Linked DNA regions of Astyanax mexicanus. The protein of the gene in region 1 purifies or fractionates together with the protein of each later gene. This does not show direct contact. Links are inferred from orthologs where the notes say so. Each region holds a gene or a part of one and is shown on either strand. Other genes may lie near its edges.

Evidence for each region.
Region 2: the proteins of multiple PDZ domain protein (region 1) and plekha2 purify together in Homo sapiens (affinity purification with western blotting; 3 studies listed by BioGRID and IntAct, with this or other methods). This does not show direct contact. The link is inferred for Astyanax mexicanus from reciprocal best matches to the Homo sapiens genes MPDZ and PLEKHA2.

The regions. Positions count from the first base shown.
Region 1 is NC_064432.1:17,454,534-17,462,018, reverse strand, and holds the start of multiple PDZ domain protein, read left to right. Parts: upstream 1-4,298; 5' UTR 4,299-4,409; intron 4,410-7,485. UniProt on the Homo sapiens protein: Member of the NMDAR signaling complex that may play a role in control of AMPAR potentiation and synaptic plasticity in excitatory synapses. Promotes clustering of HT2RC at the cell surface.
Region 2 is NC_064419.1:2,042,996-2,051,142, forward strand, and holds the start of plekha2 (pleckstrin homology domain-containing family A member 2), read left to right. Parts: upstream 1-5,057; 5' UTR 5,058-5,221; intron 5,222-8,147. Other genes in the region: uncharacterized protein tasor2, read left to right, coding at 293-474, 1,180-1,277. UniProt on the Homo sapiens protein: Binds specifically to phosphatidylinositol 3,4-diphosphate (PtdIns3,4P2), but not to other phosphoinositides. May recruit other proteins to the plasma membrane.

The DNA.
Region 1 (7,485 bases):
ACTTACCCAGTGAGGTCCCATTACCAATATCCAATTCCTAGTGCACATTGCTGCACTAATTAACTAATCAACTCTTGTTTCTGACAACTTCATTGTTCAAGTATTTGAGTTATATATATTCAGTCCCAGAGAGAGTAAGCAAGAGTGGGAGAGAGAGAGAGAGAGAGAGAGAGAGAGAGAGAGATTGCACTACTTTACATTAACAACTACAACTACATTATGCTCCTGATTGCTTTATTCTAAATAGGTATCGGTATTGGAGAGTATAAAATACCATGTACTCAGTTGGAAAAATGGTTGCTGTATCCCTAATAAAAATACTTGTAGTAACATCACATTTTCTTTATACAACAGGGGGAAGGAATAGTACTACTTCCTTAAAATTCATCCATTAAACAAGACATGTCCTTGCTAAAAAAAAAAAGGCTGGCTAGGTTTGGCTGGTTGACCAGATTAGCTATTAAGCAGCATAAGGTATGTCTTCTTTTGAGTTAACTACCAGTGTAAGCAACCTTCACCAAGTTGGTTGAATGCAATCACTAGCATAACTAATGTAGTTAACCAGAATAACTAATCTGGTCAAACAGTATAACCAATCTTATTGACCGGCATAACTAGCATGACCAGCCTGACCAAGCTGGTTGACTAGCAAAACCAAAATTAAATGTAGCATACACTACAATGGTCAAAAGCTGGTTAAACAGCAAACTTACATAAGGTATGTTTGGAAATATCGATCTGCTCCAGGCAAGACATCACTATCCATGTCCATTACTTATCTGTTTTGTGTGCTAATTTTGTCTTACATGCAGTAAATATGTTGAAAAAAGAGCAAAAGCTGCCCTAAAGCTAAATTTTTCAACATATTTACTGCATGTAAGACAAAATTAGCACACAAAACAGATAAGTAATGGACATGGATAGTGATGCTACATCTCAAGAGTAAGTTTTTTTGATGGGGATGTCTGCTGACCACAAAATTCTGTCCATCAGAGAAGATGACAACAAGGAAAAAGATAAACAGTGAATTGTAGCTCATGTATCAAGCAAGCTACATTAGATAGAATTGTGTAAACTGCCTAAATCTTCACAGATTTGAGCTGTTGATCATATGTAAAAAGTGAAAAGAGCTGCTGGTTTTGCTAAATTAGGTATTTGTATCCATGTTTGTGGATAACAGGGTGTCATACAGTCTCAGAAACCATAATAAACCTGTTAGAGATGACCGAACAACACAGCCCACTTTGAGGCAGATGTAATAGCATGATGCTAATTAGCAGAATATTAGCTTTGCTTGTTAACTACGTTATCCTCAAAGCAATTACTGAAAAATCTAGCTTTTATAACTAAACATGTCTCTGCTGTCAAATACTGTTTATGTGTGGTAAGAAGGGCTTTGCAGAAAATTAGATTTCTGTATAAATTATCACTTTAAAATGATAAGAAGCTGTGTCCAAATTGAACACGTTGGGAAGCAAGAGAACATGACACACTCTGAGGTGGTGAGTTTGCTACAGGCAGCGTGTGTGTGAGTGTTGAAGGGGTTGAAAGCAGAGGTGAGTTGATCTGCCTGTTCCCCTGTCTGCTGCAGAGGCAGTTTTTAATAGACGCGGAGGGAGCGGGCGGTCTCTGCAGGATTCTGATATGTTTAACTTTGAGCTGTGTCACCGGCGCTTTGGCTAAATCAGATTTGATCAGTGAGGCACATCTGGCCCAAAGAAGAGCACCTAATCCTATAAAACAATACGCTCTGGGAATATATCCATCTCAAAGAGCTCTCCAGCGCCCTTCTCAAGGTGCTGTATGTGTGTGTACAGAGAGGTTGACCAGTGATTGACTTTTTTTGATATTTTTGTAATTGTCCTAATAAATTGTATGTAAGATATTAGATATTAGATATTAATTAGATATTAGATATTAAGTCTCCCAACAGTCTTGTAGTTAAATTTGTCTGATTTAACTACAAACTAGCAATTTTAATACACATCCCAAAATTAAAACATTCAATTTGCTCCCTATAAAATTAATAGATTTGTTCATGTGAGATCATCATTGAGAAAATGACACTGCACATTTTTCTTAAAGGACTAACAGGAAATATATTTTTTAAAAGTTTTTAAACCTAAATTTATTGTTCTTAATTGTCAGGCTCAACATGTCAACTCTTTTTTAACATAATGAATAAATTCTAGTAAACAAATGTTTAGTAAAAACAACAAAAACATAAACAACAATGCTGCAAAAAATGACACTTTTATAATGTACTGAATATCATGTGGTGCTACTGTCTTAGCTAAATATGGAATTATGGTTACTATTAGCTTAAAAATGTACCCATGTCTTAATCAACTGTCACATTTATTCCTGTCAACCTTGGAAGGTCCAGATGTGCCTGGATCCAGGAAAAATCCTTGTAAATAATGGTTGAACTTGTAAAAGTTTGTTGTATAGATCAATTTAAAAAAAGCTTTAAAAAATCTTTATGCATCATTTGGATAAAATATTGTGGCGGCTCTGGGTTGTGTGTGTGGCTGCCTGCAGGCATGTTTCTGTTCTCCTGTGTGCGAGGATGACAGGGGTGGGGCATCTCCCTTGGGAGGGGTTTTGCAGAGAGGGTGGGCACCACTCTGGATCTGCCATCTGGGAGACACACAGCTGGGTTGGTGGCCTTTGGGCTATTTGAGCTCTGTGGGGATGGATTTTAGCTCTCTTAGTCTTGTTAAAGACTGTAAGTGAGTGTCAAGCTGGTTCAATAAAGGAACTGTTGAGCATTCAGCATGAGTCTCACGGGTCTTCCTTCCTCTTCCACGCCACAATATTAACAATTAAATATACAGGTAAATTGTAAATCCATATTGTACTTACATGTGGATTTCCCTTCTATCCTTCAATTATTTTATCATAATTATTTTGTTACTATAATGAAATCACATTAATATTCATTAGGAGGCCCCACACACATATCTCACAGATCAGTGTAGCATTCTTTAGCTTCCATGAGGCATGGCAAAAGTCATTGGACACAATACTAGTTTCTGTCCAATGACCTTTGGAATGTCAGTATAAATATATCTATATCTTTGTTCTTAAAATTCTGTTTAATGAGTATCTGTTGTTTGCTTATCAGAGATAAATTTATTTTTTAAAAACAACAAAAACACAACTTTTTGCTTTTATTTTTTGGGTGCTGGGACAGGTTGTAGGTGCACCCCAAAGGAGGGCTGGCTATGATCTACTATTGTTCAGCTGGTCATGATGATGTTCTAAAAAAGCAACAGGCAGTGAATTTATAAAATTAGCTTTAATTATGCGAGTCTGTTACTGGCAGCACATGTGGGGGACCCACCCGACCCCCTAAATATCATCTGCTCCATGTTCACTGACCTGCTGTACCCCCTCCCCCCCTTCTCCTCCTCCAGTCCTCTTCACATGGCTGAGGAGCCTCGAGGGTCAGTTGTCATGGCAGCCAGCAAGCGGCGCGTGAGGGTTCACTGGAGCTCGAGTTCCAGGCCCGCTGATGGATGGGCATCGCGACTCACTTCACTGAGTCGATTCGTTCTATTCCCTCTTTTAAACTACCTGTTGCTAGCGCTGATTCAAAAAGATTAAAAAAACTTCAGAAGAGCCGAATCGAATCATCCGCTTAAGCAAATCACATCTGACATTCATATAGAAATATAACCAAATAAACACATTGGAATAATGAGCATTACTGAGGACAGCAAAAATTGATTTATGCCCATGTTCACATACATAACAGTTAACAATACTTTAGTGGTATATCCTCCACAACAATTTTTTTTTTTGGCAGGCCAAATAAAACCTACATTTATTGTGACATGCCTAGTTATATGTAATAAATAAATGATTTTAAGTTAATACTAAATAGTTTAAGTCTAAGGTAATAAATACTAAATAGAACTTTTTTAAAGAAACATTTCAATATTTAAAACATTCATTTAATTATAATGGTTCCAAAATTAAGCCAAATGAAGAAATGCCCTATTTTTATTTTGACACAATTCTGGATTCTGATTCCGTTTGTAACATTACATATTTTTATACACACACACACATATATATATATATATATATATATATATATATATATATATATATATATATATATATATATATATATATTAATACATTAATGATAAAAATAAATATATGCACGCTCACAGACAACCAAAACAGAAGCTCTTTGTTATTATATATTTCAAATATATATATTCTCGTGTTTCCTCTGTAGAAAATCCTATGATTCGTTCAATCCCGCGAGTCGACTCACTTGAATCGTCTGAACGACTCGTTGGTAAATTCCCGTCACTAACGCTAGGTATTCCGTTAAACGGGAGAAAGAGGGACGGTCCCGTAACGAGATTACACACGGGACCTAAACTGGATGAGTAAGTTCTTATTTAAGCAGTTTTATGAGTCTGGGCGATCTGAAACGGGTTTAATTGTAGTTTTTAAACGCTAGAAAGGCTGAGTTTGTTTGGGTACTTTGTTGTAAATCCCGGTTTGGTGTAGCTAAGCTAACGTTACAGCTAGCACTGAGAGCTACTGAGGAAGATTTTCAGAGTTTTATCAAAAAAACTGTCGTTCATGTTGTTTTACATGATTTTAGTCGCTGTTGGCGGCGTTCCTGGTTTGTTTTGGTTTCTTCGGGGGCGTTTTTTCGGTTTTCCGCCGGTAAAAGTCTCTGGTTTATCGCCTGTTGCTTCCCCGGGAGGAGAGCTGCGGGAAGCGGATTGGCTGCAGCCCCGCCGCCCGGAGACTGCGCGGATAAACCGGACTTACACATTTAAACCCTTTATTTAACCTCAAAATTTACCAGACTGCGTTTCTGAACCATACCAGAACCGTTTAGGGCTTTTATAATTAAATATTAAATTATTCTATAAAAACGGGTTTGCCCACAGCTAGGCTGCAGGTCCTTTATGCTGTTGATAACGTTACACACATATCATAATCGATTATTAGTCGGGGAAAAGGTGGTGAATGTATTTGATATAACTTATATTTGATTTACAGAATATTGTTATTTGTAAGTAACAGCCGATCTAAAACTGGTATAAATATAATGTTTTCACGAAGAATTAAGCCATTAGTTACATTAAATACATGAATTGTTATAATTTAAACATAAATCAACTATTTATTATTTAATTATTTAATTATTTAAAATGATTTAATTTTATATCAATTATTATACATGAGTCAATTATTTATCCATAATGTCCCAAAATACATCGCTCTGTCCAATAAGATTAGGGATAGATGTGTGTTGTTATTTTAGCTATGGATGTAACCTTAGCCATCCTCCAAAGCCACATCAAGTGGAATGCAAGCAACTGGTAACATATAATTTTTTTAAAATATTTGTTTAAACTTAAAATATTTCACAAATACAAATATGTATATGTGCATACATATAAAAAATATTTGTTTATTCTCATTTTTTTTTTACTAAAGAAGTGTTTTTTTTTGGCTAACTGCTGCTGCATTTTAGGTGGAAGGGAAAAACTTGGTAAATGTTAGTGATGTAAATTTACTAAAAATGAGACACATCTTGTTTAACTACTCTAGTAACAGTGAGAAAATAACTAGAACTTGCCTCTAACAGTTATTTTATTATATATTATTATTTATCATATATTATCTGATGTCTAGGCCTGCAACGATTAGTCAATATAATCAATGTTGATTCTAAAAAGGTATCCAAATTTCAGTGCAGACTAAACAGTAATTTGTAACAGCACTGCACTACACAAAGTTCTGGTGAAAAGCATGATGTGAGAGGGGTAATGGACTCACGCAGTTTATACTCAACTTGGTCTGTGTCTCCAAAAGTGCCCACTTAATATCAGAATTTACATATCCTTGGCATTTAAACCTTATGTTCAGCTGTTTTTTGTTTTCTATTTAGTTTTTTTGTAGTTCCTATTTAGTGCTTGCTTTTATTCTTGGGTTTTACTGTTACTGACTCTACTTCTTTTACTTGGAACTTTAGTGTTTTATTTTGGACCACAAAGGTCTTAAAAGAAAGAAACAGGCTGCAACAAACTTCAATTCCCATGCTGATATATACTAGATATAATAAGATCACTCAGTATAAGGATACTATTTTTTGGGTAATGTAGGACTACTGGGTTTTAGGACTTTTTTTTACTGGAGATTGTGCTGTTTTTATTCTTTTCAAATCATTGTCTTTTCTTCTGCTTGTGTGTGGCTGTAGAATAGTCTACCAAACTTCCTGGAAATTTGACCATGTTTTTTTTTATTAACACTCTAGTTAACATCACTGTTGATTACTAGTTAACTACTACATACTTCTACTGTTACAGATGATTTTGGCACATCATTAAAAAAACTGAAAGTGGCAGGCAAAAGTTTGGACATCCTGAGTAAAAGATAAACTGACTTCCACACTTTTAAGATTAAGCTTTGTAAGATTTTAACCTAATAAGTCAATAACATATGTTGGGTAGACATTTAGAGTAAGTAGAAGTTTAGAATAAAAAAGGGAAGCATTAAAAAAAGAATTGGGCACCATATAGGGCTTTTTTTTTCTCAAAGTTTTTGCCTGTGATCCCAGATTGAAAATCACTAGACTATTATTAAACATGACCAGTAAGTTGATTGGTGTTGAAAAAATAGATGTCATGTTGAGCATTACAAAAATTAGTATTCACATTTCGACCGTTAATCACAGTCTCCTCATTTATAACCATTTATAACAAGCTGTTGTACCTAAAACGTCCCAATAAAGCTTTTATCTTATCCTGCGTGATGAACGATGAAGGTTGACTTTTTGTCATTTGGTTAAGCTAATACTTAGCTCTTCACTGTAACACATAATTTGCCTCAGGGTCCTCAAAACACTTATGTAAAGACTGCAGTTGAGAATCACAGTTCCATTATGATTTTGTATATATTGTTTTTTACTTTTTGCAGTCTAGATAATCAGTAAAGAGCTGAAAACATACGCAGCCTTCGTTCTGCTTTGCCGGTTTATGATTGAATTGTTAAAAATCAATATTACCTTAAAATATACCAAATCATTTGCATTCAGTTATTGTTTGGGACTGTATAATTTGTGTTTCAGGAACTTTGCTTCACTATGTTTTTTAATTGCTGTTCCCAGCCACGAGGTACAAGGTTTACAAGGAAATCCACACTGTCACAGTGCCAGGTGGCAAAGTCAATTATTGCAGGCTGAGACTGGCCATAGGCAAATGACAATCCTTCAATAAGAGCATTAGTCCAATACAAAGAACGACAACAGCTCTGCATTAACCTTTGGATGTCAAAAGTTTCAACTTTCTTTTTTTTCTATTTATTTTGGTGCATTTATATTATTGCGTAATTAATTACCTATTATTTTCTTGTGATTAAAATTGAAATCTTCAAAGTTAAATGTTTTTAGTGTAATAATGGTTGTGTTTTATACAGCACACTGTATACTAGATTCTCCATACT
Region 2 (8,147 bases), on another chromosome or scaffold:
TTTTTTTTTTTTTCCCTTCAATATACTGTATATATAACCAAAATACATTTGTCCAACACAAGCAAAATTGTATGAAGTACTAAAAAAACAGACTTAAGTAAAAGTACTATAGTAGCGCTTTTTCATTGCACTTTTTTTAAACAATTTGCAATATTACTACTCAAGTACTGAAAATAAATATACAAATATTGTGTTTTGTAGTTTTCCCTCTGCAAAAGATGTTATAGTAAGAGTAAAGTGTTATAAACACATCAGTCATTCTTTAACGCATTATTGGCCCGATTTCCCGCAGATGCAGTCCTGAGGCACAGATGAAAAAGCATTTCATGGACTGCTGTCAGGAAGCTGGGATTGTGGAGGTCCTGCCCTATCACGAGTGTGATGTCATTTCACGAGACAGGCCGGACTACCTTCGCTGTCTGGTTCGTCTCCAGATCCAGAATGCCTCTGCGCGGTTCCCTGTGTTCATTACAGGTAAAAATCTTGCTTTATTTTTTTGTTTGTTTAATGCATGTTTTAAGCTTCACAAAATATACAGTGTTTTTCGTACTATAAGATGCTATTAAAATTCTTTAATTTCCTAAAAATAGTCCTTTGTAAGTACATTCTAAGTATATTTGACTGTAGTCTGCATGTTTACCATGTTAAAACAAGCCCTGGCATACCGGCTAGCTGTTAGCCGCTAATGGTGCTGCACCAAGCCTTAGTGGAAATCTGGAAATCTAAGCTTACTGTGAATAAACAACAGCGCTTTACTCACCCAAATAAACAGTTTTTACAAGAGAACTCTGTGTAGATTAACATCCAGTGCTTGTTGGAATATTTTTAAACTTAAAAAAATAAATTGAATCATGGCAGTCTTAAATTTTTAGCAATGTCTTTCTTTGTCATGAAACTAACATATGCAGACCAGTAGAGGGCGACTCCGCTGTCTTCTGTTATTAAATTAAGCTGTAAATATGTTATTAAGCTGCAAATCACAGAGACAACTGAAACAAAAAAATATATAAAAATATCCTTAATTGTGTCTACCAAGATTAACAATATAGCGGACAATTTGGGCTTAATTTCTAATAAACTGAAGGGAAAGTTTCCATCTTTTTTTTTTTATCGGGTGGCTTAATAAGCTGCTGTTTTATGTTTGATATTAATGTGCTTATTGTTTGGTTTCTTTTTCAGATACACAAACAGAGTCTTTTGGGAAAAATGGAATTTTAACAATGAATATTTACACGCTGTCACGGATTCTTTCAAACGACACATGTTCCGTTTCTTAATGCTAACTGTAAATGACATTTAGGCATTGTTTTCTATAATACGGTAACTTGCCATTGGGCGAGTGCCTCTTGTTAATAGTATAAGTTATTATGCTGTGAATATGCTAAACCTGTAGAAGTATAAACATGTAAAGAGTCTCATATGTTTCAGTTTTAAATACTGTAAAAAACAAAAAGAAATGCCAATGGTATTTTAGTGTATTCTTTGTTTTCTTTCATATGGTTTTATAAATCATATTGACAATTCTAATTTTAATAAAAACACTTTGTTTGGTACTAGTGTGTTTTTTGTGGTGGGTTTCTTTTTATTTTTTTTGAGTGGACCTAAATATTTGTATTTAATAAAATGTTTTTTGTTTTACTGAATTGACCAAATGGCTGTAGTTGCATAATAGTATATACTGTTACTGCCAGAACTGAAGCTTTTCTTTAAATTTAGAAGAGGAGTAAAGATAGCTTCTTAACTTGCATTGGAAGTCCCTGTTTTTTGTAAGGTATTTTGGTTACGTTAAAGGACACATGTATTACAAAATATTAAATATTATTAAATAATAGTTTATTTAAAATTGGGGGGGGGAAATCTACACGTTTGCTTTTTTTTCTTTTTTTCATTCTGTGTTCAGATAAAATTAACCAACTTGGCTCACGCAAATAGTGGCATGAACAATGTCAACAACCAATAGGAGAAGAGCTACGGGAACCTGCAAGGTAAGCACAGAAGCGTTTGTGGAACTGAGCGTGGATGAGATTTCTACAGCGATGGCTCGGACACCACGGTTTTCCTGGAGTGTATAAAAGGTCTTTTCCACGTGTCTTTCCATTTATACCACAACAGAATGGAAAAGTATTGAAATAATAAAAGTAAATATAAAAAAAGTAAAAAAAATCTAAGAATCTTGTTGGAGTCTTGCAAATAGTGATGCTGCAAGATCCCCAGTCTTTGCAAAATCTTAGTCTGTAAGTAAAAAGTCTGACTTGTGTTTAGATTTGAGAGAGTGTCAGACTTTGATCTATATGTTTAGAAAAAAATGTTTGATATTGGATATTGGTTCTAAAATTGTTCTTAAATAATAGGTCTATGCTTCTTCAGTGTTGCAATGTGAATTAACATGATTCTGAACGGATTTCACTCATTTAAACAACCTAAAATATATATATATATATATATATATATTTTTTTTTTAAGCAAAATTTTAATACTCTACTTATTTTAATGCTCTACTTATTTACTTAAATGTTAGGTTTAATTTGGGCTTGGGCTCAAAAAGACAGTTTAAGGCTTGGGTTGGTCTCTATTTCAGAGCTGAGTCCTTTTTAAAGTCTTCTAGTGTATGTTTAGCGGAAGATTGGAGGGTTGAAACATATTGGGTTTGTTTTATTAGTATAAGTTTATTAGGTTTCATGCTGCGAGTCTGTTCATGTCCTGTGTTATCAAACTCAATCTCCTCAGAACATGTCACCTCAGTGAACGTGTGCTTATAACACTTTCTTTCTGTCTTCTGTCTGCTGAAGTCTTTCCTACAGATCTAAATGCAGGGGTTACTTTAACCACTGTTCCTACTAAAACACTGGAGAGTTAAAGAGTGTTTGTGACTAAAGTCTTGCAAACTCTTGCATTTCAGGCTCCAATACTTAAAAATGTCCATCCTTTAAAATCGGCTTATTTTCTCTTTGCAATATTGGTGCAAACTGTACTGCTACATCTTTATAACACTGTTACAGACCTACTGCTGCCTACATAATGATAATTAACTAATTAACACTAAACAATGAACACGCCAGTGTCAGATCAACAGTTTTAGTGTTAAATAAAAGCCCTGCGAGTGTTACTATTCCCTCCTGACACTCAGTAACAGCCCTCCTCACTGGAGCTGGTAAAGTAAAGTTTGGTCAGATAGCGCCTCCAAGTGCAGACTGTCTTTATTTGAAGGAAGTGGAGTCTCTTCTCTCTTTCTATAACGGGTTTTTGGACTTTGGGCGGGGGATAAAGTGTCTCTGGGGGAAAGGGCATGTCGTTATTTTCGCATATGGTTGGTTGCAGGCAGCAGGCAGTGCACCACGAGGGCGCATGCATTTCTAGAATAGAAAAAAGAACAGAAGTTAGATATGTGGATAAATAAAAAGACTGTCAACTGGATTATATAATGTTGCAGGTCTAGAAAAGCCAGATATACTGTTGGATGTACTGTAAAATTACTTCAGAGCTGCTAAAAAAAATGGAAAGAGGAAGTTAAACAGTTAAAAATAGACTTCATGTGAACGTCTACGCGTAAAAACACTCCAGCAACAGTTTCTACAGCAACAATGTCAAGCAAAGAAATACAAACACTGTTACCTTACGTAGAAAATAGCCTTGTGACTCCTATTTAAAAAGATGTCAAAAGTATTCACATTCATTCCTCTGTAGGTAGAAGTATAGATTCTAGGGTTTAATAAAATTCTTCTGTAGAAGTTGAGGTATCAACTCAAGCTTTTTACTCTTTAAGTAAGTGGTTTTAAAACTACTTAAATTATAAATCTAAAAGTAGTGTAAGGGGGAAAATAAAGCCATTAAGGACAAAAGCATTTCTCCTTTTGTGGCATGTTCTATTAGTTTTACTATTTTAGTGTTTTTGAGATCAGATGTTCAGTTTTGGTGGGAAACTCAGATTTACTACACTGACAAGTTTTTGTAAACACTCTGTTCACCATATGATTTTCAACTTTTAGCTACTTGTAGTACTTGTAGTTGTTCAGTTCCTACTTTTTTCAGAGATGTTTATTCAGAGAGAGAGAACAAAAATTAAATTGTATTTTTTCAGAGTTTTTTTTCCCTCTTTTTATAAAATATTGATCATCCTGAATGTAAGCTATGGTTTATTTAACGTTGAATGTACGAAATTAAATCTCTTTTTAAAATCAACACCAAATCCAACAGTGATTTAGCATTGATTGAACATTTGTTCTCAAAAACACTAAAAACAGTAAAAGAAATAGAACATGAACATACACCCAGGTATTGCAAAGAATTGCTGCCAAATTAAAAAGCAGTTGTGTTACTGCAAATGGAAGTAAAACCACTTTTTCTCTTTAAACAAAGCAATACAGACTGTTCGCAAACATAGTTTCCAAACGATGGAACAAACTACCTACTACCAGATCAGGAGAATCTCTCACTATCTTTAATAAACTCCTGAAGACAGAGCTCTTCAAAGAGCACTTACTCTCCTAACACCTCTAACTAACTACCTTCTACTACCAGATCAGGAGAATCTCTCACTATCTTTAATAAACTCCTGAAGACAGAGCTCTTCAAAGAGCACTTACTCTCCTAACACCTCTAACTAAGTAAACTAAGTCTGCCAAATGTAATGTAATAATGTAATTATGTTTTATCATATTTTAATCACTTTTTAAATAAAGAAGGTTGGTTGGTTTTGTGCCAGCTGGGTGGGTTTTATATGTTTAAGTAGTTTTAAAACTTCCTTAGTACTTTTGATAGGTAGGTTGATACTTCAATTTCTACAGAAGTATTTTTTTTTTTTATTAAACACTAGTATCTATAAAATAGTTCTACCTATAGTGTGTGTGTGTGTGAATGTGAACACTTTTGACACCTTTGGTGTCACACCTCACAGTGTGTCTGGGGCAGATACGAGGTTTTTGTTAGGTGTTAAAAAGCGGGAAAGTGTCCTGGAGGTCGCGCGCCGCAGTGTCCGCGTGCGCTCCGCTGGCACCTCACCGCACATGCTCCTGCGCTACGTTCCTCTTTCTGCGTAAAAAGCGCAGAACCGGATGCGCGGTTTTGGTTTTAACTCCGAGCAGAGAGACCCGGAAAAGCGCTGCATGTCGGAGGAGCTCTCGCGCGCTGAAGCTGCAGCTCCTCTCCGCCATGCTGAGCGCTTTCTGCAGGACCTGAGGAGCAGCAGGAGGACCCGAGACCCCCGGTGCGCGCGGACCCCCAGGTGAGCTGCACTGCTGCACCTGTGCGGAGGAGTTTTAGGAGTTTTGGGTTGTTTTGTGGAGCTGTGGTTACGCAGAGGGGCTGATGCTAAGAGCTATTAGGTGTGGCAGCTTTGTGAGTGCGCGCGCGCGTGTGCGTGCTTGTGTGTGTGTGCGTAAGTGTGTGCGTGTGTAAACTTCCCCCCTCCTGAAAGTATTTTCCCTTCATATATAAATATATATATATATATTCATCTTCATCATTAAAAACAGCTCTCAAGTTAAAACTTACCCTTCTGCAAGATAATACTGGGCTCACATGGGTGGAACCTGGGTCAGGTGAGTTCCACCAGAGATGTAAAGTAATGAAGTAGAATTACGTCACTACTGTACTTAAGTACTAAAATACTGTATCTGTATCTACTGTAGTATTATTTTTTTACTTCACTACTACTGTACTTAAGTACTAAAATACTGTATCTGTATCTACTGGAGTATTATTTTTACTTCACTACTACTGTACTTAAGTACTTAAATACTGTATCTGTATCTAATGGAGTATTATTTTTACTACTTCACTACTGTACTTAAGTACAAAAATGCTGTATCTGTATCTAATGGAGTATTATTTTTACTTCACTGCTGTACTTAAGTACTAAAATGCTGTACCTGTATCTACTGGAGTATTATTTTTACTTCACTACTACTGTACTTAAGTACTAAAATACTGTATCTGTATCTACTGGAGTATTATTTTTACTTCACTACTACTGTACTTAAGTACTTAAATACTGTATCTGTATCTACTCGAGTATTATTTTTACTTCACTACTGTACTTAAGTACTAAAATACTGTATCTGTATCTACTGGAGTATTATTTTTACTTCACTACTACTGTACTTAAGTACTTAAATACTGTATCTGTATCTACTGGAGTATTATTTTACTTCACTACTACTGTACTTAAGTACTTAAATACTGTATCTGTATCTACTGGAGTATTATTTTACTTCGCTACTGTACTTAAGTACTAAAATGCTGTATCTCTATTTACTGGAGTATTATTTTTACTACTTCACTACTGTACTTAAGTACTAAAATGTTGTATCTGTATCTAATGGAGTATTATTTTTACTTCACTGCTGTACTTAAGTACTAAAATGCTGTACCTGTATCTACTGGAGTATTATTTTTACTTCACTGCTACTGTACTTAAGTACTAAAATACTGTATCTGTATCTACTGGAGTATTATTTTTACTTCACTACTACTGTACTTAAGTACTTAAATACTGTATCTGTATCTAATGGAGTATTATTTTTACTACTTCACTACTGTACTTAAGTACTAAAATGCTGTCTGTATTTACTGTAGTATTATTTTTACTACTTCACTACTGTACTTAAGTACTAAAATGCTGTATCTGTATCTACTGGAGTATTATTTTATCTCCTCGTTCCACTTTTAGTACAGATTAATACTTTTACTCAGTTTTTGATAAATTTTGTGTATTTATGTATATGAGCTGCATTGTTACTTTATTACGATTTAAAAAAATGTTATAAATCATTCCAAACCCACATTATGACTAAATCCAGAGCGGTGGATGATCTGCACTGTCGCCGGATTTGATTAAAGCTGCTCATCATTGAGCGAATTAAGAGATCAAGCTAATCTTATTAAAAGACCTCGCTGCTCCCGTGCTGCCTTTAGCACCGCTTTCTTAACTAATTAAGGAAAAAAATAATTTCTTCAAAAAATACTTCAAAGATTGTTAAAAAAGTTGAATTAATCATTTATTATTATTAGTTTGGGCATTATATACTTACGTATTCACCTACTTTAATTCACACTGTGTTTATGGAGTCATTGAAGTTATTGAAGCATGACTGACTAAAATACTGTTCACTGTTATTCATGTGAACAAACATATACAAATAAACAAAATAAATGAAAAAATATCACGATTATCAAACATTATTAAGTTCATGTTCACGATATTGCGATGATCGTGACAGGCCTAGTATAAACCCTCGGCCCCAGCACTGCATATACTCCTGCAATACACCTGAAAACACACTCCAGCACAGGTCTGCCTGCACATGCTTTGCATATAGACTGTATGAGCAGATAGAGCAGAGCAGTGAGCTGCTGAACGCTGGGAGAATTCTCCACAGAGCTCAGTCTATAGCAGGGCTATTCTTCTCAATCTGCACACACCAGCTGCTCAGCATGTGCATCAATGTTTGAGTATCACTCATCATCACACAGCTGAGCAATGTAGGTCAGCTGGAGTGCTGTACACCCATCAGCCACAACATTAGGACCAGACCGGTGAATAGGGATAAATATCGGGTTACAATAACACCTGTAGAGAAGTGAGATTTGCAGTATTAGGGAGCAACTGAACAGTCAGGTCTTGTTTTTAGGGCAGGTACTATGCAATATGATCAGTAACAAAGAGTACAGGGGTTGCAGGTAATTCAGTATGTTTCAATATATTGTGATACTGATATGAATGATTATATATATATATATTTTAGGAAATCTCTCATAACAAACAAAAAAACACACTATCGTATTCATAAAATCTGAGTAAAAGAAAAATGTATGATTTAAGCAATTATAATAGTGGGATTTAGTGGGCGGGGCTTAAACACAAACACAAAATCAACCACTGTCTGCCAGCTATCTTGAAATTAAAATCAATACTGTGTTTTTTGTTTTTAAATGATACATTTATTGAAAGTGTCCATACATCAAAGTATCACAATATTTTATTTAGTGATACTATATTTGTAAAGAGTATACTTTTAAAGATTGATGTGAAACAATGGTTCATTTATTGAATTAATCTAAATGTATAAAAAGTAAACTTTTGTTTTACCCAGATTTTATAAAAATGGCTTATCATGTTTTTTTTGTACTATTAGAGTTTTACAAAACTT